Linked DNA regions of Coturnix japonica. The protein of the gene in region 2 purifies or fractionates together with the protein of the main gene of each other region. This does not show direct contact. Links are inferred from orthologs where the notes say so. Each region holds a gene or a part of one and is shown on either strand. Other genes may lie near its edges. The genes, in order: BIN3 and DNMBP.

Evidence for each region.
Region 1: the proteins of DNMBP (region 2) and BIN3 purify together in Homo sapiens (co-immunoprecipitation; 5 studies listed by BioGRID and IntAct, counting the BioPlex papers as one, with this or other methods). This does not show direct contact. The link is inferred for Coturnix japonica from reciprocal best matches to the Homo sapiens genes DNMBP and BIN3.

Annotation. Positions count from the first base shown.
Region 1 is NC_029537.1:2,516,207-2,527,458, forward strand, and holds the start of BIN3 (bridging integrator 3), read left to right. Parts: upstream 1-4,959; 5' UTR 4,960-5,049; coding exon 5,050-5,057; intron 5,058-11,252. UniProt on the Homo sapiens protein: Involved in cytokinesis and septation where it has a role in the localization of F-actin.
Region 2 is NC_029521.1:19,218,678-19,229,184, reverse strand, and holds the start of DNMBP (dynamin-binding protein), read right to left. Parts: upstream 9,081-10,507; 5' UTR 8,976-9,080; coding exon 8,774-8,975; intron 6,487-8,773; coding exon 6,364-6,486; intron 5,814-6,363; coding exon 3,915-5,813; intron 2,425-3,914; exon of another isoform or gene 2,205-2,424; coding exon of another isoform or gene 1,121-2,204; intron 1-1,120. UniProt on the Homo sapiens protein: Plays a critical role as a guanine nucleotide exchange factor (GEF) for CDC42 in several intracellular processes associated with the actin and microtubule cytoskeleton.

The DNA.
Region 1 (11,252 bases), on a different chromosome or scaffold from region 2:
CAACACAGCACAACACAACACAACACACACAACACACAACACAGCACAACACAACACAGAATGCACAACACAACACACACAACACACAACACAGCTCAATGCAAAACACACACAGCACAGCAACACAACGCAACACAGCAACACAACACAATGCAACACAAAACACAACACAACACAATGCAAAACACACACAGCACAGCAACACAACGCAACGCAGCAACACAACACAATGCAACACAACAGCACAACGCGAAACAACGCAACACACACAACACGACACACAACACAACACGATGCACAACACAACACAATGCACAACACACACAACACAGCAACACAACACACAACACAACACAACGCACAACACACGACACAATGCAACACACACAACATACAACGCAACACAACACACAACACAGAATGCACAACACACAACACACAACACAATGCAACACACACAACATACAACGCAACACAACACACAACACAACACAGAATGCACAACACACACAGCACAGCAACACAACACAACACATGACACACAATGCAACACAACACAACAGAATGCACAACACACACAATGCAGCACAGCAACACAACACAACGCACAACACACACAACACAGCAACACAACACACAACAGAACACAATGCACAACACAGAACACAACGCAACACAACGCACAACACACAGCACAGCAACACAACACAACACAAAACACAACGACACAACGCAACACAACACACAACACAACAGAATGCACAATGCAGCACAGCAACACAACACAACACAACAGAATGCACAACACACAATGCAGCACAGCAACACAACACAACGCACAACACACAACGCAGCACGACACGACACACAACGCAACACACACAACACAACGCGCGCGAAAAAGGCAAAAAAAAAGGCAAAAAAAAATAAAGGGGGGAATGATATTTTTTGAGAGACTTTTGTATCAAAGTTGAGTACTTAGAGAAAAAAAAGAAAAAAAAAGGCAAAAAAAAACCTAAAAACATGCAAAAAAAATAACCAAAAAGAAACAAAAAAGGGCCGCTCCAGATGTAATATATTTTGTGGATGTTTTTATTTCTTTATAGTACCTTATACTAAGGTTAAAACAGAAAAAAAAACATTAAAAAAGGAAAAAAAAAAAAGAAAAAAAATTGTAAAAAACAACCTCTTTCACCCCAACCCCCACATCCCCGAAATAATGAATAATAATAATTAATAATATTAATAATGATGATGATAATGAAACCCGGTATCGTGAGAAGGTGACGATTTTCACCCCCATTTCATGGCTCATCCCCGCTGTAACCATCCGCCGATGCCGTAAATATATCATTGTGTTTGGCTGCCTCCCGGCCCTTCTTTGAGCACCACTCGAGGGCAGGGATGGGGATTTGGGGAGGGGGCTTCCCTTCTTTGGTGTGTGGTTTGGTTGGAAGGGTCCCCATTGTGATGGGGTCGGTTGGGTTGAGAGACCCTATGGGGTTAGTTGGGTTGAGAGACCCTATGGGGTTGGTTCAGTTGAGCGACCCTATGGGGTCGGTTGGGTTGAGCAGCCCTATGGGGTTGGTTGGGTTGAGCAGCCCTATGGGGTTGATTGGGTTGAGAGACCCTATGGGGTTGGTTGGGTTGAGCAGCCCTATGGGGTCGGTTGGGTTGAGAGACCCTATGGGGTTGGTTGAGTTGAGCAGCCCTATGGGGTCAGTTGGGTTGAGCAGCCCTATCAGGTTGGTTGGGTTGAGAGACCCTATGGGGTCGGTTCAGTTGAGCGACTCTATGGGGCTGGTTGGGTTGAGAGACCCTATGGGGTCGGTTGGGTTGAGCAGCCCTATGGGGTTGGTTGGGTTGAGCAGCCCTATGGGGTTGGTTGGGTTGAGAGACCCTATGGGGTTGGTTCAGTTGAGCGACCCTATGGGGCTGGTTGGGTTGAGAGACCCTATGGGGTCGGTTGGGTTGAGCAGCCCTATTGGGTTGGTTGGGTTGAGTGACCCTATGGGGTCTGTTGGGTTGAGCAGCCCTATCAGGTTGATTGGGTTGAGAGACCCTATGGGGTTGGTTCAGTTGAGCGACCCTATGGGGCTGGTTGGGTTGAGAGACCCTATGGGGTTGGTTGGGTTGAGCGTCCCTATTGTGTTGGTTGGGTTGAGCAGCCCTATGGGGTTGGTTCGATTGAGAGACCCTATGGGGTTGGTTGGGTTGAGCGACCCTATGAAGCTGGCATTGAGGGGCTGGTTGGGTGGCTCGGCCCCATAGTTCGGCCCCACAACCTCCATGCCCTGCAGCGTTGGGTTTTTCCACCTCTGGCCCCACAGGGGATTTATTAAGGCTCAGAGGTGGCGTCCGATGGCACAAAGAGGATCTGGTGGTTCAGCCCTTAATGCGGCGGTGCCGCAGGTGTTGGTTAGAAGGATTTCTGCTCAGGTTATAAATAACGGGGATTTCGGGGCCGGCGCTCGGAGCCGCGTCGGGGCGAGGAGGGGTGATGGGTAAATCCCACAGCTGAGCCCACGCGTGGCCACAACGCTCTGCTTCCCATCCTTGGGGTGATCCATCCTTCCCAATGGGGGGCAGAGGTTGGGGCTGGTGCTGGTGCTTTGGGGTCAAGCAATGATGGGCAATGGGGTCGCCGGGTGGACGCCAATGGGGCACCGTTGTGTTGGGGCACCATTGGGGTCATAACGGTGACATCCCAAGCAACGTTGGGGTGATCCATCCTTCCCTATGGGGAACAGAGGCTGGGGCTGGTGCTATGGGGTCAAGCAATGGTGAGCAATGGGGATGCCGGGTGGACACCATTGGGTTGGGGCACCATTGGGGTCATAATGGTGACAGCCCAACCAATTTTGGGGTGATCCGTCCTTCCCTATGGGGAGCAGAGGTTGGGGCCATTGCTGGTGCTATGGGGTCAAGCAATGATGGGCAATGGGGACGCCAGGTGGGCACTATTGGGTTGGGGCACCACTGGGGTCATAACGATGACATCCCAACCAATCCCGCTGTGGGTCGGATCCCACTCCCCATAGGGCCATCACCCTACAGCAGGGCCACCACCCCATTACCACCCCATCCACAATGCCATCCCCCTTCCCCATCCCCATCCCCCACAAGGCATTTGGACCCGATATCCCCATCAATTCCCTTCCAACCCAATGACCCAACGACCCTCTATGCCCCATATCTTCCTCCCCCCACCCCATATCCCTCTCCCCCCATCCCACGTCCCCTCTCCCCATACCCGTGGGCACAATCCGGCGCTCACCTCCCTCGATCCCTCAGCCCTAATCCCGTGTCCTCACCGGTGTGTGTAACACCTTCTCAATTTAGCAGCATCAGCTGCGACGTTAATTAACGCTCTGTTTACCTGCTGCTAATTAATGAACCCAGCCCTGGCACCGCTAATAACCCACGACCAGCCATCGCCCAATTTCATGTTGTTTAGCCCCAAAGCCAACGCTCTGTCCCTATGGGGAACCCAAAACTCCATCCCTATGGGGGACCCAAAACTCCATCCCTATGGGGAACCCCAATACTCCGTCCCTATGGGGAACCCAACATGTGGGATATGGGATATGGGATATGGGATATGGGATGTGGGATGTGGGATGTGGGATATGGGATATGGGATATGGGATATGGGATATGGAATATGGGATGTGGGATGTGGGATGTGGGATATGGGATATGGGATGTGGGATATGAGATATGGGATATGGGATATGGGATATGGGATGTGGGATATGAGATATAGGATATGGGATATGGAATATGGGATGTGGGATGTGGGATGTGGGATATGGGATATGGGATGTGGGATATGGGATGTGGGATATGGGATGTGGGATGTGGGATATGGGATATGGGATATGGGATATAGGATATGGGATATAGAATATGGGATATGGGATGTGGGATATGGGGTATGGGATATAGGATATGGGATGTGGGATATGGGATATGGGATATGGGATATGGGATATGGGATATGGGATATGGGATATGGGATATGGGATATGGGATATGGGATATAGGATATGGGATATAGAATATGGGATATGGGATGTGGGATATGGGATATGGGGTATGGGATATAGGATATGGGATGTGGGATATGGGATGTGGGATATGGGATATGGGATGTGGGATATGGGATATGGGATGTGGGATATGGGATATGGGATATGGGATATGGGATGTGGGATGTGGGATATGGGATATGGGATATGGGATGTGGGATGTGGGATATGGGATATGGGATGTGGGATATGGGATATAGGATATGGGATATGGGATATGGGATATGGAATATGGGATGTGGGATATGGGATATGGGATGTGGGATGTGGGATGTGGGATGTGGGATATGGGATGTGGGATATGGGAATGTGGATATTGCGGATGTCGCGATATGGGATATGGGATGTGGGATGAGGGGGGGGCGGCGGGGGCGGGGGGGGGGCGCGGGGGGGGGGGGGGGGGAGGGGGGGGGGGGGGGGCGGGGGGGGGGGGGGGGGCAGTGGGGGGGGGGGGAGGGGGTGGGGCAATATGGATATGGGTGTGGGGCCATATGCGGATGGGATATGGGATGTGGGATACTGGGGATACATGCGGATGCTGGGATGTTGGGATATGGATACTGGGATGTGGATATGGCGCATGGGGACTACTGGCATAACTGGATGTGCGCGATATGGGCATATGGGATGTGGGATATGGCGGACTGCGGCGGATACAGCGCTATGGGATTGGGATTAATGGGATTGGGATTGGGATTAAATGGGATTAATGGGATTGGGATTAATGGGATTGGGATCAATGGGATTGGGATGTGGGATATGGGATATGGGATATGGGATGTGGGATATGGGATATGGGATGTAGGATATGGGATATGGGATCCATGACGTCACCCGGCCTCACTCCATCCCGGCACACCAAGGGTTAACACCCCTCGCTCCGTGACGTCACCAAGGGGCCGGAAGAGGCGGCGATTGGCGGCAGCACTTCCGGGATCGGAGCTGGGCCGGGGGAACCATGAGCTGGTGAGTGGGGGGGGGAGAAACGGGACCGAACCGGGAACGAACCGGGACCGAACCGGGACCGAACCGGGACCGAACCGGGACCGAACCGGGAACGAACCGGGATCGAACCGGGAACGAACCGGGACAGAACCGGGACAGAACCGGGAACGAACCGGGACCGAACCGGGGATGAACCGGGAACGAACCGGGACCGAACCGGGGACGAACCGGGACTGAACCGGGGCTGTGGGCCGGGATGAACCCGGAGGGGCTCCAGGGGCGGTTCCTGAACACTGACCCTTATGGGGTCTGGACACTATAACCCTTATGGGATCTGAGCACTATAACCCTTATGGGGTCTGGACACTGACCCTAATGGGGTCTGGACATTAACCCTTATGGGGTCTGGACACTATAACCCTTATGGGGTCTGAGCACTAACCCCTGTGGGGTCCGGACACTGACACTGACCCTTATGGGGTCTGAGCACTATAACCCTTATGGGGTCTGGACACTGACCCTAATGGGGTCTGAGCACTATAACCCTTATGGGGTGTGAGCACTGACCCTTATGGGGTGTGAACATTAACCCTTTTGGGGTATGAACACTGACTCTTGTGGGGTCTGGACATTAACCCCTATGGGGTCTGAGCACTGACCCTTATGGGGTCTGAGCACTATAACCCTTATGGGGTCTGGACACTGACCCTTATGCAGTGTGAGCACTGACCCTTATAGGGTCTGAGCACCAACCCTAATGGGATCTGAACACTGACCCTTATGGGGTCTGAACACTATAACCCTTATGAGGTCTGAACACCGACCCTTATAGGGTCTGAGGCCCTTATGGGGGCTGTACTGCAGTGGGGTGGGTTTGGGGTCTATAGGGTGGGTTGGGGGAGGTATTTGGAGTCAGCAGCTGTGTGATGTATGGGGTGGGCACATAGGCCTTACAGTGATGTATGGGGTGGGTGTGGGGTGGGCAGATAGGCCTTATGGGGTCTATATATTTAGTAGGCACTTATGGACCATATGGGGTGGACTATAGGCTTTGTAGGGCCCACAGTGTGTGGGGTGGGCAGCTCTGGGCCCCACAATGTGTGGGGCAGGCCTTGTAGGGTGGGCAGGTACTGACCATATGGGGTTGGTGGCTGTATATCTATATAGGGTTGGCAGGTCGGTACCGTATGGGGTGTGTGGAGGCCCCACATCCTCCTGTGAGACCCTACAGCCACACAGCACCATATGGGGCTGCTCCATTGCAATAAGGCCAGGAGCTGCATTGGTGCTGCACCGTGGAGTCGTCTTGGGGCTGCATTGGTGCTGCAGCAGCATTGGAGCTGCCTTGGTGCTGACGCGTGGTGATGCTGCATTGGAGCTGCCTTGTTGCTGCTGCACAGAGCTGCCTTGGTGCTGATGCATGGAGCTGCATTGGTGCTGCAGCGTGGAGCTACCTTGATGCTGCTGCATGGAGCTGCATTGATACTCATGCATGGTGATGCTGATGCATTGAGCTGCCTTGGTGCTGATGCATGGAGCTGCTTTGATGCTGATGCATGGAGCTGCATTGATGCTGATGCATGGAGCTGCTTTGATGCTGACGCATGGTGATGCTGATGCATGGAGCTGCCTTGATGCTGCTGCATGGAGCTGCATCGATACTCATGCATGGTGATGCTGATGCATGGAGCTGCCTTGATGCTGCATGGAGCCGCCTTGGTGCTGATGCATGGTGATGCTGCAGCATGGGGCTGCCTTGATGCTGTGGCATGGAGCTGCATTGGTGCAGCATGGAGCTGCATTGGTGCTGCTGCATGGAACTGCCTTGATGCTGCTGCATGGTGATGCTGATGCATGGAGCTGCCTTGGTGCTGCAGCACGGAGCTGCCTTGATGCTGCTGCACGGTGATGCTGATGCATGGAGCTGCATTGGTGATGCAGCATGGAGCCGCATGCTGGCCGACTTGCAATGCACATGCCCCATGCTGCAAGATCCCTTTTGCTTTTGCAGCAGAGCAATAAGACGCTGCTGTGTGAAGGTTTGTGGCTGATCATGGTCCAGCTCCAAACCTCACGTCAGTCATTGAGCGCGTTGCAGCTCATGCGTCAGCATGGAGACACTGCATGGCTGCAGCTGAGTGTGAGCGACACAATCAGCCTCAGTGCAGCCTCAATGCTTGGCCCTCAGCCTGCTTCATTCAGATGAATGGCCCCATTGATGTGGGGCTGAGCTTTGGGGTTGGGTGACGCAGCGGATGCGATGCCCCGTCGTGCTGCGGACGTCAGAGGGGGATGCACCCAGCGTGGGTGCTCCATGCAGGGGGTGAGCTCTGTTACCCAATGGGTGCAGGGTCTGTTTGCTCTCTGTGTCTGCATCACCCCATTGAGGGGCGTCCCATTGCCTTTGGGGTCAGTTATAGGGCTGGATGTGCGTCCTTGGTTCACCCTCGCTGTGATGTGATATGGGATCTCCTCTGACTCGTGGCTCCTGTCTGGTCCTGGTGTTGTTCTTCTTCATCCTTTGCTTTCCCTCCTGTTCAAATAGGGCAGAACCCAACACGTTGCATCCTCAGCATCCTTCCCATTGCACATACAGGAGGCATTACAACCTGCAGGTGGATTAAAGCCCCGTGCAGCTCAGCAGGGCTGCATTTATGGGCTGTGCTCTCTTAGGGTTCAGCCTCTTTTAGAGGCAGGTTGAGGTTTCCTAAAGCTCCGTGGTTCCTTTGGATTATGGGGCTCAGGCAGCTGCTCTTGGTGCCCTCAGAGCCGTGTCAGCCCCATATGGTGCCCCATGCAGCTCCCCATGGATGGAGCAGCTCCCCATGGATGGAGCTGAGCGTGCTGAGCTTCCCATCCCAGCCAGCTCCTCATTCATGGCAGCCTGAAGGGCTCTTGAAGGCTCTTGGAAGCAATTAAGACCAAATCAGCTCATCAATAGAGTCCCTAATTCCTCCTCCTTTGGCTCCTGGGGATGGGTTCGGATCGGCACCGCTGCAACAGCTGCTGTTTGCTGGGAGAAAGAAGCAACGTGCAAAGCAAAGTGATGGTGGGGCAGCACGAAGCACGTGTCTGCTCACTGTGTTATTGATGGGGGAACCCTGAGGGGGCTCAGCCCTATGGCTGTGGGGTGGGGGGCTCTGAGTGGGGCTGTATGGGCACAAAGGGCTTCGTTCTCAGTCTTTGATTGGAACCCGTCCTTGTTATCCCATATAGTTTGGGATGGAGTTGAGTCGACTGTCCTGGGGAGGACAACGGGTTGGGGGTCTGGAGCCCAAACCTTGGGTCCTCCATAGTCAGTGTTCAATGGTTTATGGCCCCACCGTGGTCAGTGGGGCAGTGGGTTGTGGTCATTCCATGGTCATTGACTCGTGGTTCCTATATGATCAATGGCTCATGGGCCTTCCATAGTCAATGGACCTTGGTCAATAGCTCATGGTCCCTCAGTGGTCAGTAGGCCTTGGTCAGTGTCTTGTGGTCCTTCCATAATCAATGGCTCATGGTCCCTCAATGGTCAATGGGTCTTGGTCTATGGCTTGTGATCCCTCCATGGTCAATAGTCAATGGCTCATGGTTCTTCCTTGGCCAACAGGCCTTGGTCAATGGCTTTTGGTCCTTCCATGATCAATGGCTCACGGTCCCTCATTGGTCAGTGGGTCTTGGTCTGTGGCTTGTGGTTCCCCTATGGATAATAGTCAGTGACTTATGGTTCTTCCATGGTCAGTGGGCCTTGGTCAGTGGCTTGCGGTCCCGCCATGGCCATGGCATGGCCTCTATGGCATTGGTCAATGGCTCATGGTCCCTCAGTGGCTAATGGGCCTTGGTCTATGGCTCATGGTCTCTCAATGGTCAATGTACCTTGGTCAATGGCTTATGGTCTCTCAATGGTCAACGGGCCTTGGTCAGTGGCTCGTGGTCCCTCAATGGTCAATGGGCTTTGGTCTGTGGATCGTGGTCCCCCTGTGGTCAATAGCCAATGGCTTGTGGTCCCTCCATGATCAATAGTCAATGGTTCATGGTTCTTCCATGGCCAACAGGCCTTGGTCAATGGCTCATGGTCCTTCCATGGTCAATGGGCTTTGGTCTATGGCTGATGGTCCTTCCATGGTCAATGGGCCTTGGTCTATGGCTGATGGTCCTTCCATGGTCAATGGGCTTTGGTCTGTGGTTCATGGTCCCTCCATGGTAAATAGTCAATGGTTCATGGCTCTTCCATGGCCAACAGTCCTTGATCGGTGGCTTTTGGTCCTTCCATGATCAATGGCTCTTTGTCTCTCAATGGTCAATGGACCTTGGTCAATGGCTCATGGTCCCTCAATGGCTCATGGTCCCTCAATGGTCAATGGGTCTTGGTCAATGGCTTGTGGTCCCTCCATGGTCAATAGTCAATGGCTCATAGTTCTTCCTTGGCCAACAGGCCTTGGTCAATGGCTCATGGTCCCTCAATGGTCAATGGGCCTTGGTCTGTGGTTCATGGTCCCTCCATGGTCAATAGTCAATGGCTCATGGCTCTTCCATGGCCAACAGGCCTTGGTCAGTGGCCCATAGTTTTTCCATGATCAATGGCTCATGGTCTCTCAATGGTCAAGGGGCCTTGGTCTATGGCTCATGGTCCCTCCATGGTCAATAGCCAATGGCTCATAGTCCCTCTATAGTCTATCCAACGCTCCCATTCTCCCCGTCTCCCATCAAAACCAGAGGCTGGATGTGATTCCAGGTGTTGGTGCTGCTGGTTGGACCCATTGATCTCAGTGTTGTTCTCCATCCTTCACAACAGGACGAACCGAAGGGCTGCAGAGCGGCAGCTCCTCGATGGGGATTTCTCCATCATTATTTCTTTGTGCAGGTGGCAAAAAAGCGGCGTTGAAAAAGCAGAGCTGAGCCACAACCACGTTTCACGAGCGTGCTTAAAATGGGTATTTTTGTAGCATAGTCAGGGCCTAAAACAGCCTGTGCAGGATCCAGCTCACCCACGCGCCTGGCGTGAGTAATTGGCTTCTGATGGGTGAGTAAAACATCGGTATAGATTTGTTTCCATGCTCAGTTTGGGATGGGTGGGAGAAGCAGCTTCTGCCATGGGGCTGGATGTGCTCAGTGCCATGGGGTTGGGTTTGCTTGATCCCATAGGGTAGATCCCATAGGGGGGACCCAATAGGGGGGATCCCATAGGATGGATCCCGTACGGTGGATCCCATAGGATGGATCCCATAGGGTGGGTCCCATAGGGTAGATCCCATAAGGTGAATCCCATAGGGTGAATCCCATAATGGGGATCCTATAGGGTGGGTCCCATAGGGTGAATCCCATAATGGCGGTCCTATAGGGTGGATCCCATAGGGGGGGATCCCATAGGATGGATCCCATAGGGTGGGTCCCATAGGTAGGATCCCATAGGGTAGATCCCATAGGGTGAATCCCAATAGGGGGGATCCCATAGGATGCACTGTGGTTGGTGGCCATAGAGCCCACCTGCAGGCTCCATCCATAGGGTAGATCCCATAGGACGGATCCCATAGGGTAGATCCCATAGGGGGGATCCCAATAGGGGGGATCCCATAGGGTAGATCCCATAGGGGGGATCCCATAGGATGGATCCCATTGGGTGGATCCCATAGGGGGGATCCCATAATGGGGATCCTATAGGGTGGATCCCATAGGGTAGATCCCATAGGGGGGATCCCATAGGATGCACTGTGGTTGGTGGCCATAGAGCCCACCTGCAGGCTCCATCCGTAGGGTGGATCCCATAGGATGGATCCCTTAGGATGGATCCCATAGGGTGGGTCCCATAGGGGGGATCCCATAGGATGGATCCCATTGGGTGGATCCCATAGGGAGGATCCCATAGGGTAGATCCCATAGGGGGGATCCCATAATGGGGATCCTGTAGGGTGGGTCCCATAGGGTGGATCCCATAGGGGGCATCCCATCAGATGGATCCCATCGGATGGATCCCATTGGGTGGATCCCATAGGGGGGATCCCATAAGGTGAATCCCATAATGGGGATCCTATAGGGTGGATCCCATAGGGGGGATCCCATAGGGTAGATCCCATAGAGTGAATCCCATAGGATGCACCATGGGATGGTGGCCATAGAACCCACCTGCAGGCTCCATCCATAGGGTGGATCCCATAGGATGGATCCTATAGGGCGGATCCCATAGGATGGATCCCATAGGGCGGATCCCATAGGGTGGATCCCATAGGGCGGATC
Region 2 (10,507 bases):
CTATTTGAAAAACAGAAGAAAGACCTTGCAGATTAGCATTTGAAACTTGCCTGGGGACAACATCTAGAAAAGAAGACACTTGCAATGAGATTCTCCAGGGACTGTGTTTAGAGTTGGTCGGACATAATATTTTCAAAGTAAATGGAAAAACCACTGTGGTTCTGTAGAGAACCAAACATCGATTCTGTATGATCACTAATAAGGATGCTGCATACCCATCACTAACAAAGCTTAGGTATTTTGAACAAGATAGAATTACTCAAACCAACAGGTTTAACACAGGGAAAAAAAAATATCATCAACTAAAAAGCTCCAATTTAGCAGATAAAGGTTGGGAATTGAAAGCTGAAAAGCAACACATCAGCATGCAAAACATTCTGGAGTGAGGATGAGTATCCAGCACCACCAAACAGGTGGGGTCTCTGCTTAGAGCACTGGGCAGACACATCCAAATCTTATCTCAGAGATGCTTTAACCAAAGAACTGTCACTATGCTGCAGAGTTCCCCAGGCCCATCTGGGAGTTATCTGCTTGTTTCCTCAGATGCAGCTCCTGCAGGCTGCCCCTGCCCCATTCTGAGCCTCCCCAAGCTCTGCCCCTAGCCCCTCCTAGCTTCCCAGATGCCCTTTGATCATCCTGGCACCACAAAACCACTCCCTTGCCCTGGAGATGAGACTGAGCAAAGTCCCACCTACCAACACAGTGCAGAAATGCAGCCTCTGGAGTCTGCTGAATCAAATACCTCGAGAGAACAAATTTCACTGTAAGCTGATAGCCAGCCACGGCCTGCAGCCCTGCTGCCTGGGTGTTTGCTGCACTGCTGTGCTGTACTCTGCACTCCAGCCTCCTCCAAGGGCAGCACATGCATGGGTACCTGAGACAAATGCTGGCAGAAAGGGTACAACTGCAAACAGGTCCTCGGACACACATCTGCCCAACACAAAGGTCTCCTTCACTCATCCTACCCAGACCCCACCACTGTGCAACGAGAGACCTAAATGCACAAAGTTGTGTGCATCCCCAGGATTTCCTCAGGAACCCTGCTGCCTCAGGACGAGGGCAGGGTTAAGGAATGCCCAAGGCCACCGCACCGACACCTCCCAAGCATTTCTCTGCATACCGTGTTTCTCCTTCCTGGTCTGTACAAATTCTGAGCGCCGCAAGGTGCTGGGAGCCGTCCTCCTGTACAAACTGTTTCTCTGCAGTGAAGAGCCTGTCCTGCTCTCTTCCTTGGCCTCCTGCTCCCAGATGTGACTCCAGTCTGGCCGGCCCGTGCGGACCCTTGAGTGCTGTGCTCGTTCTGGTTCCCCACAGCCATTGCAGCCCATGTCCTGCATCCCTGACTGTCTGCAGGACGTGTTTGACCCCAGGCTGCTGGTGTCTCCTGAGGACCAGGATGTCAACAAGTGAGCTCCATGACCTCCAGACGGATCACTGCAGTCCATGGCAACACCTTTCAGCTGCCTGTGCTGTTCAGAATCTCCATGATCCTCCAGATCCCTGATGTTTACATACTGCCTTTCCTGCTCTCTAAATTCCTCACAGCCTCCAGCCTCTCTATGCCACTTTTTTCTTTCCCTGCCTACTTGATAACCTCCGTCTTCTCTATACTGCCTTTCCCCTTCCCTATATCCCCTGTCCTGCCTACACTGCCTTTCCCTTTCCCCACAGTATCTCCCATCCCTACTATAGTCCCTAGGATCTCCATCCTTATGACACCTTCTGCCTTCCCTGTACTCTCCAGGGCCTCTGTCCTCTCTGTACCGCCTTCCCCCCTCCCTACCCTCCCCAGGCCCTCTGTCTCCTCTGTACTGCCCTTCTCCCTCCTTGGGATTACAGCCTCTGTATTGAACACCCTCCCTCTCATTCACTCCACAATTTCTGTCCTTTGTAAATGGGATTTTGCCTTTCCAAACATTGTCTGCTCTCCTATAGTCCGTGTACTGGTTATCCGCCTTCCAAAAGCCTTCACAGTCTCCGTTCCCGCTCCATCCATCCACAGAGATGCCCTCCCCTCTCCAGTCACTGTCCCAGCCTCTGTCTGCTCCCCTCTTCACCCTGGGTCTCTCGTTCCAGCGACTCTCACTGTGCAGGCCCATGACGTCCCCTCTCCTCGCAGCACAATCTTCATACTCCCAGCTGAGGAGCCGGGGCTCCTGCCTTGGTTTCTCTGTGCCATGTTCTGTCCCAGGATAAGAGCACATCGTCCTGCTGGGTTGCAGCTCCCTTTGCTCCCGCTCCTTGAGCCCACACCCGGGCTGACACCTCTTCTCTCTCTGCTCTGACGCTTCCTTCCCAGGTACAACGCAACGCAATTCAACGCAGGCAGCACTTCCTGAAACCAGCCAGCAAAGGTAGGAAGAGGCGCGTGCCCAATGGCCTCCAGCCCCAGCCTCCTCCACCTGCTGCCCAAGCTAATCAGTAACCAGTTAGAAGCAGACTCCCACCGGCCAAACCGGCTGCACTGCTTTGGGAGAGCCCGCAGCCTCCCCATGGGCCACTAGGAGGCAGGGAAAAGGAGAGCAGTGGGGCACGAGGAGGCCATGGCTTAAGACCAACATCCCCAGGGAAGGAAAAGGTGCATGTGAGACTGGGGAACCACAGAGCAGATAGCACGTACCAGATCTCCTTCCCTTGCCTCCACACTCCTGCCAGTTCCAGCAGGCAGCATGCAGCCTGAACACCGTAGCGTAGCAGAGGCTGGGCTCTGCTCCATGCATCCTGAGAGAAACCGAACCCCCAGGCTTCGCTTCTAACCTGGTGCAGAGCCATCCTTCTTCCAGCCCTCACCCGCAGCCCCTGGGAAGAGCAGGAGGCAAGCAGCACTGGGGCAGAGCCTCCTGCTCCAAGTGCAAGAGGATGAAAACAAATCCTGCGCTCATCTGGCCTTTAGCACAACCTCCAGTGTACATGCAAGACATGCCCAAGAAGGAACCTGCAGATTTTAAACATGTTTTAGAAAAACACACACTTTCTGCTTCTTCTTTGATACGCAGAGGAGTTGGGTTCCTCCTAATGTTACTCCAGCCCTACTCTGTGCCCTTAGGTAGGGCAAGTATTTACTATAGGATCAGAAAAGCTAATTCCAAACCCTCGGGTCTCTTGAGGGGGTGAAAAATCCTCTGGGACTACAAATCAATGGGCAAGATGTCCCTGCCAGAACATTAGTTCCTGCCTAAAACTTCCAGTTCAGATAACTAACAGAGCATGGGTTCAGCGTGACCTCCCTCTGTCAGGAAGCAATGGGACAGAGGAAACATTTCCCAGAATGATCCACCCCACCAGAAAATTTCCCAGAAATTTTCCCTAGATTTGCCTTTTCCTAGCTTCAAACCTTGTATCTTCTAAGCATCCCTCTTGCACTCCACTGATGCGGAGGCTGCAGGTCACCCTGTGCACTGATATCACCCTTCATTCCCACGTGCTCTGCATCAGAGCTCCTGGACTCCACGGTGTTGATTAAGTGGTGGGAGGCTGGAGGCAATGAAGTCAGAATGAGTAATTCTGAGGCAGGAGCTGGCATTTCACTCCACCTCCCGCATGCAGTGCCCACATTTCCTGCACATCGTGGGTTTTAGGAACAGAAGCACACTGTAAGAGCTCCTTGGATAAGTGGGGAAAAGGGACTGTGGGAGATGTATGTGATCCTGCTTCCACTTTGTCTATTGTATTACCAAGTATAACATAGTTAACAGCACTGATCTCAATATCATATGGGTCTTCAGAGCCCAGATGTGCCCATATAAACCAGACAACTCTCTTCTCCTAGAATAAAGCCAAATCATGACAATTTGCAGCACCACAGCATTAACAAAAATGACCCAAATCAAGAATTAAAGACTGGCTCAAGTGGTGCCTGTACCTGGAGGGGACAGTTGTCCCAAAGAACCTCTGTTCCATGCTGCTGTACTCACCTCTCAGCTCCTGCAGCTCTGCACTGAGGCTCTCAATGTTGGAGTCACAGAAATCAAGGTTCTCCAGGGTCTCTGCTCTCACCAGCTCATCCTGCTGCTCCTCCAGCAGCAAGGTGAGCTCAGTGCGGGTCTTCCTGTAAGCCTCCAGGTCTCGCTCCAGCTCTCCAATCCTCATCAGCAAGATGGAGCAGGGAGAAGCTGATCCTGTCTGTGTTGCATCCTCACGGCTTTCCTCTGCATGCTGCTCTGCTACATTGGGTTGCAGCTGTGGAGGGACCACGCTCCTTCTCTGAGTGCTTGACGGAGGCCGGGGAGCGGGCCGGGAGGGCTTCACCGAGAATGACAGAGACCGGCCTTTGGGCATGGGAGTTGTTGCAAGGGTGCTGGGCCGAGGAGGGGGTGGTCTTAGGGCCTTCCTCCTTTCTGGCAGCTTGGCAAGGGGGGCACACTTGGGAGACCCACGAACAATGTCATTCTCAGAGCTATAGTCCAAGATAGAGAAGTGACGAGAGACCTTGTCCTGCTCAGCACTGGTACTCGACAGACTCTTCTCAAACTGCACCAGTTGCTCTGTCAGTTTTGAGTCAAGGTCTGTGCCACTGTGCCCCTGTGCTGCCAGTGAGGAGCACTCGCTCCAGCTCCCAGCCCGTGTATCCAGACCCATGTGGACACCTCCCCAGCCAGAAGAACATGGTTTGGACTTCTGCTGGTCATCCACCCAACCATCCAGGTCCTGGATGCTGCTCTGCTTCTCCTGGGGCTCTGATGCTGCCCAGCTGCTAGGAGGAGGAATGGCCTGGCTTCCACAAATGTCTGGTGGGGAGCAGGGAGTCTGTGAGGGCATGGTGGGTCTGCTGCCATCACGCTCAGGCAGGGCTGGAGGTTCCAATACACCTGCTTGGCCTGGCTCACTGCTATGCTGCGGAGGCAGCTGAGTAGAGTGGAGAAGGCCATTGACTGTCTTTGTGCATTCAAAAGGGAGGGAATCTGCTGTGGTTCCAGGATGTAATTCCTGGAGCCCTGCATCAGGAAAGGCCTGACACTGCCTCAAGTCAGTGCTCAAAGGAGCCTCAGATCTCCCTGCCATGTGAGACACAACAGTGTCAGGCTCAGGGTGTGCAACCAAGCCATCCTCCTTGTCCCAGCTATCTTTTTCCAGCAAAGGGAGAACTCTGGAACAGGTGCTCTCTAAGTCTTGATGGATAATCACCTCACAGCTGCCTCCAGCCAGGGGATCACCAGCACCCACCTTTTCCCTGTAAAGGTCAGAAGCCTCCAGTCTCACAAATCTGTGTGGGAAGATACCACGTTTCCCCCTCAGTTCCCCCTCTAGCCAGCCATCCTCCAGAATGCCCACAATCCGAATCCTGTCACCCACATCAAAATCCAGTTCCTCAGACTCCAAAGCTTGGAACTGGTACAAGGCAACACCATAGGTGCTCCCTGGCTCCTGCCCTCCATTCTCTCTGCCATCTTCCTCCTGCTTGGTAGGCACTGTCCCATTGGTGTCACAACGCCCTGCAGGCTCTTGATCCACTGAAGTTCCTGCTGCTCTCAGAGGAGTAAGCAGCTCCACAAAACCTTCTGGGAAAATGCCCCTGCGGCCTTGGAGCTCCCCCTCAAACCAACCAGGCTCTGGTATGCCAACGATGTTGATCACATCCCCTTCTCTGAAGTCCAACTCCTCCTCCAGCTGAGCAGAAAGACCCATCAAGGCCCTGGCTTGGCCCAGTGAGTAGGCAGGTACCTCCAGGAGAGAGCTGTGGGAGAACTGACAGCTCCGAACTGTAAGGTGCAACTCCCTCACACATGATGAAGGGAAAAAGCCCTTGGAACCACAGCTGCTTCTGCCTTGGAGCCAGCTGGAGGCCAGAGGACCACTCAGGATCACCAAGTCTCCTGTAGGGAATGAGACATACCAGTTCAAAACTGCCCTCCTGATTGCTTCTCACCTCTTGTTCCTGCCTTCCTGTGGCCTTACTGGCTGTGGGTAAGGTCTGGCACTCCACATGAAGTGCAGTTTTCTGGGGGTGCACAAGAGCACAGACTGGAGGTGAGGCATGAAGCATCAGCAGTCTCATGCACACACATAACTAAGATTCACAGTTTGAAATGAGTTTCTAACAGTCAAGTAGCTTTACAGATTGATTCCCTCCCACCCCCTCTCAAACACATGTCTAGGATTTAGGGATGGGAGTGCAATTAAATGGCAGCTGTAAGTCTACTGTAATCACACAACTCTAGCATTTGGAGTTTCAAGGGTAAGAAATAAGAAATAAGAAATTGGTATTGAGAGGTGGCAGGAACACAAAGGTTCACATGCTGTGGGGAATCGAAAAATTTTTCTCTGCCGCTCTAGGCAGGATGCTGCAACTAGGCTCACCCCATGCTTCTAGAAGAAGGGAAGGTGTCTATGAGATGCAAAGCAAAGGAAGAGGACAGGGATTACCTCTCTGCAATGACAAGCTCCCTGGCTCTTGAGATGTGAAGTCACTGGTACAAACAAACAGCTTCTCTCCCTGCTTCAGAAGGGGAATATCCACCAGTTCCACAAAGCTGCTAGGAAACTGCCCTGAAATGAGAAGCAGCTGTCAGCAATGAGTCCTTCCTGTAGCCCACCACAACTCCCTCCACCCTCCTTCCAGACCCTGGAATCTACTTCTCTTGCTAAAGGAAAATGCTGCATCCATAGCTACCCAGGGAACATCGGCAGCGTGGAGGAAGAGGAAATTTCTGCGGATTTAAATACTAACAGAACAAAAATCATTATGTCTTTGGCTCGCTCCAGGCAACCAATACTATCAACACTGAGTTCCTGGGAACAGACATACCAGGTTTTCTCCTCTTCCTCTGCTCAATTCACCAATCACTGCCATGACAAGGACTGGGATCCAGTAGTGCTAGACCACAAGACCAGTGTCTTCTGACAGGGCATATCTACCTTGTGCTTCCTGCTCTGTAAGGCTTGGCCCCAGCACAGCCTCAGCACTGAAGTCATGATACCAAACTTGGGAAGGCCAGGTCTGTGATCCAGAGGCACTGCCACAGCTGCAGCACTGCTAAGGCTGCAGGGACCTTCCCCATTTTACCACCTCATGCAGGTATTTCACCATGGCACCCACTGCTGGATGCCCAGCTATTCTGAGCAGGCAAAGCTACGCACGCTTGTTGGCCATTTTAAGACCTTACCCAGCTACTGATGTCAGTCCCAGGATCACTGGATATAGCAGAGCCCACTGCAAAGCCCACTACAAATGTCACTGCAATCTTTTACAATCTGTTGCAGAGAGAAATGATGGAATATGGGCCAGCAGCACTTCCAGCATTCACTCGTGATGTCCACTCAATATGATGTTTACATTCTCTACAAAAACTTGGAGACATCATATTGAAGGCATTCAGTACTTTCAACTGGGACTAGGCAGTTTCCCACCTGCTGTCATTAACCTGAGGTGGAACCAACAGCCCACAGGCTTCCAGTTTCAGTGGCTTCCTTTACAGTTTTAACCAACTCCTCTTTTTTTCCATGCCAGTTTCCTGCTCTGTACATGGAAACAACCTAAGAGTGTTAGGAAGGAAATAATGGAGCTACACTAATTATTCCCCATAGAGCATTAAGTATTATTATTGGTAGGCTGCAGCACTGCCACAGCTTCTACTAAAAAGTGCTTTTTCAATCCCCTGAAACTTTAGCTTAGAAAACTGGGCAGAAAACTACAACAGCTGTTCCAAGGAAAAGCGGGAATGCAAAAGGAGTTTGAGTTAAAGGTCACTAAAAACACGCTGTTTGACTTCAGTGTGTTTCTTTATCTTTGAGCTACGATATACATCTGTTTGTTGTTCCTTCATAACTTCATCTTCTTGAGAATGAGTGCATCAGTTACACCGGGAGAAATAACAGTGGTGAAGTAGCTGCTGGTGATTTCTGCATAAGTAATTTGTACCCCGTAACTTCAGCAGCAGCAGGATTAGGCATGCACTCATTTAATGCCATTTATCAGCTAAATGGAGCACAGGAGAAAATCCCTCCTCTCCACCTTTGCTCCTGTCCATCTTTGTTTTACACAGAGACAGGCGCCTGACAGCCCACAGCTGGCAGCAGAGCCCAGACTGCTGCTGCAAGGCAGCCCCATCTCCACAGCCAGGCCTGGAAGTGCAGCACTCCTCTCATGCTGAGCAAGGAGTGGGGCTTATGCTTTGAAGTGGCCTGGTTTTCATCTTGCTGAGAGCTCACGTGTCTTCTCAACATCAGTATGAAGATGAGAAAGGGCTGCATAAAACAGGATGAGACTTTTAGTGTTTCACTAAGAGCATTTTGCTGCTTCAAAAGTTTCTCACACTTACCCCAAGTTTAACAGACTTGCACACTACTTAAGGCGCCCAGGTATTGATGGCAGCTTGCTTGGGAAAGTGTTTTAAAGCAGAAAGGAGGAAGCAGGACTGAGTCAGAGGGTTCCAAGGGGGACACGGAATCTCCCACTGACTTGACCTGACAAGGTCACTTAGCATTTCCATTCTCAGTGCATCTGTTTCCTCTCCCCTTCCAGTGCCACAGCAGGTCAGCACATAAACTAGCCAGGAAATGGGCTGTCCCACCATAGAGGATGCAGCTAGCACCTAGTGTTATGAAGCTCCCGCCTTGAGGAGTGACACAACACTGACCTCTCAAAAAACAACTGAGCTGTCTGAACTTTAGAGGTGCAGCTTGCAGGAGATTGGTGGCAGGGAACCCGCATCCTCAGTCCCAACTGAAGTCCAGCAAAAGATTTAGTAAAATGCATGTTCCACTGGCAGAGTGAAGGCCAGGGAAGATGCCCTGAGCACCTACAAATCTAGGTATGGACACCTCCAGCTCTTACCTGTGACGCCTTCCTTTTTGCCAAGCAGCCAGAACTCATCCACCACATCCAGCACCTCGATGACATCTCCCACAAAGAGGGGCAGCTCCTCAGAAACGCTGGGACAGAAATCAAAGACTGCTCGTACCACAGAGCCAGCTTCCATTGCGTGGGGTCTGCAGGCAGATCGGGACCTATGGCTGAGACACAGTGGGAAGTTCATTAGCAGCAAGAAACACCTGAAATTACCACATTTCAGAAAGGGAAGACCTTCTCAAGCATAAGAGACAGGGATACTATGAGGAAGTCTTGTTCCGAGCTCACAAAACCCCTCCTTGTGCCTCAGACCTTGCTGCCACAGGAGTGGTGTTTTCCAGTAGTCCAACCTGACTTGTGCAGCCTTTGTGGCTACCTCCGCTGGGACTTGTTTGTGCTGTACCAGGGAGAGAAACCGCAAGAAAATCTGGGACTGAATTCTCATCAGGAAGGAAGTGCGGAGAGGAGGAAGCTCCAAGCTTCCCTGACGCCAGGGCAGACCCGGAGCCTGCTGGGGCCTCTGTGAGCAGGCAGCAGACATCACTGCTTGCCCAGTCCCTTCTGGAAGGCTGGGCAAATGCAACCCCTTCCCACGTATTCTGCTTGCCTGAGCTCCTGTCCCTGGAGCCGCAGCCAATGAAGAATGCAAGGCCTGCTGTGAAGCCCTGAACAAGGCTGAAATTCTCTCCTCACAGAAGAACTGAGGGACATGTCCTACACCCAGAAAGTCTGCCCCTTCCTTTAAAGCAGCTGCTGAGCCAGGACCCTGCTGCTGTCCTCCTGCACCAGGGTGACAACACAGCAAGGCACACCATGAACAGACAGCCCTGTATGGTCCACCTGAGCCCTGGTGAGTCAGGAACACTTGCAAACAGCAGAAACACAGCCTTGCTATGGAGGTATGGCAAACTTCCACCAGGAGTGCCAGCAAGGGATCCAGCCAGGGAAATGCTTTCTGCTGACAGGACTGCCGTGTTTATCCAGTCCGACTCACCTCTTGGGAACAAAGAGGGTCTGTGCTCAGCAGAACCACATCCCTCCTACCCCAGCCATGCCCACATTCTACCACCACCACACCCCCACTCCCAGCCCAGCATCCCTATGCTGCTCTACTATGAGCATGTGAGATCCTTGGGGCGCAGACTGCCCTGCCATCGCCAGCATTGTGCTGGCTGAACAAAGAGCCCAATATCCAGCCCCGACAGTGCTATGTCACCAAAAAGAGATGAATGGACCGGAGTGAATCGGGAGCACAAAGAGCTGCAGTTCAGGATAGCAGGAACCTACTGAGGCAGAAAAAGCAACAGTATTACAAACATGCCCATGTGGAGTAGTAAAAAAGATGGAAGGGTCACTAGTGAGTCTGCAAATGCTAAAGACAAGAAAGCAGCCCTGCAACGAGTTGTGGTGGCTATGGCACGAGGCTGAGCTCAGGGTCCTAGAAATATCTGCCATGAGCTCTAGGGACTGTTTCAAATGAGAAAGGAGTGAGAGGGGCAGTTATTCTTCCATGTACCCATTAACTGCAGTTACAACAGAGACCAACTGAAGGACTACCACTAATCCACTTTCACACTGCAGCAGTCACACGCTGACTTTGGAAAGAAGGGAGGGGACGGGATGCTTGCTAAGGGCCAGAGACAGGGAGACTGCTGGGGATTTCTGACAAGCCCATGAAGATCACTGATGGCAGTGGCCACTCCCACCCTCATAACAAAT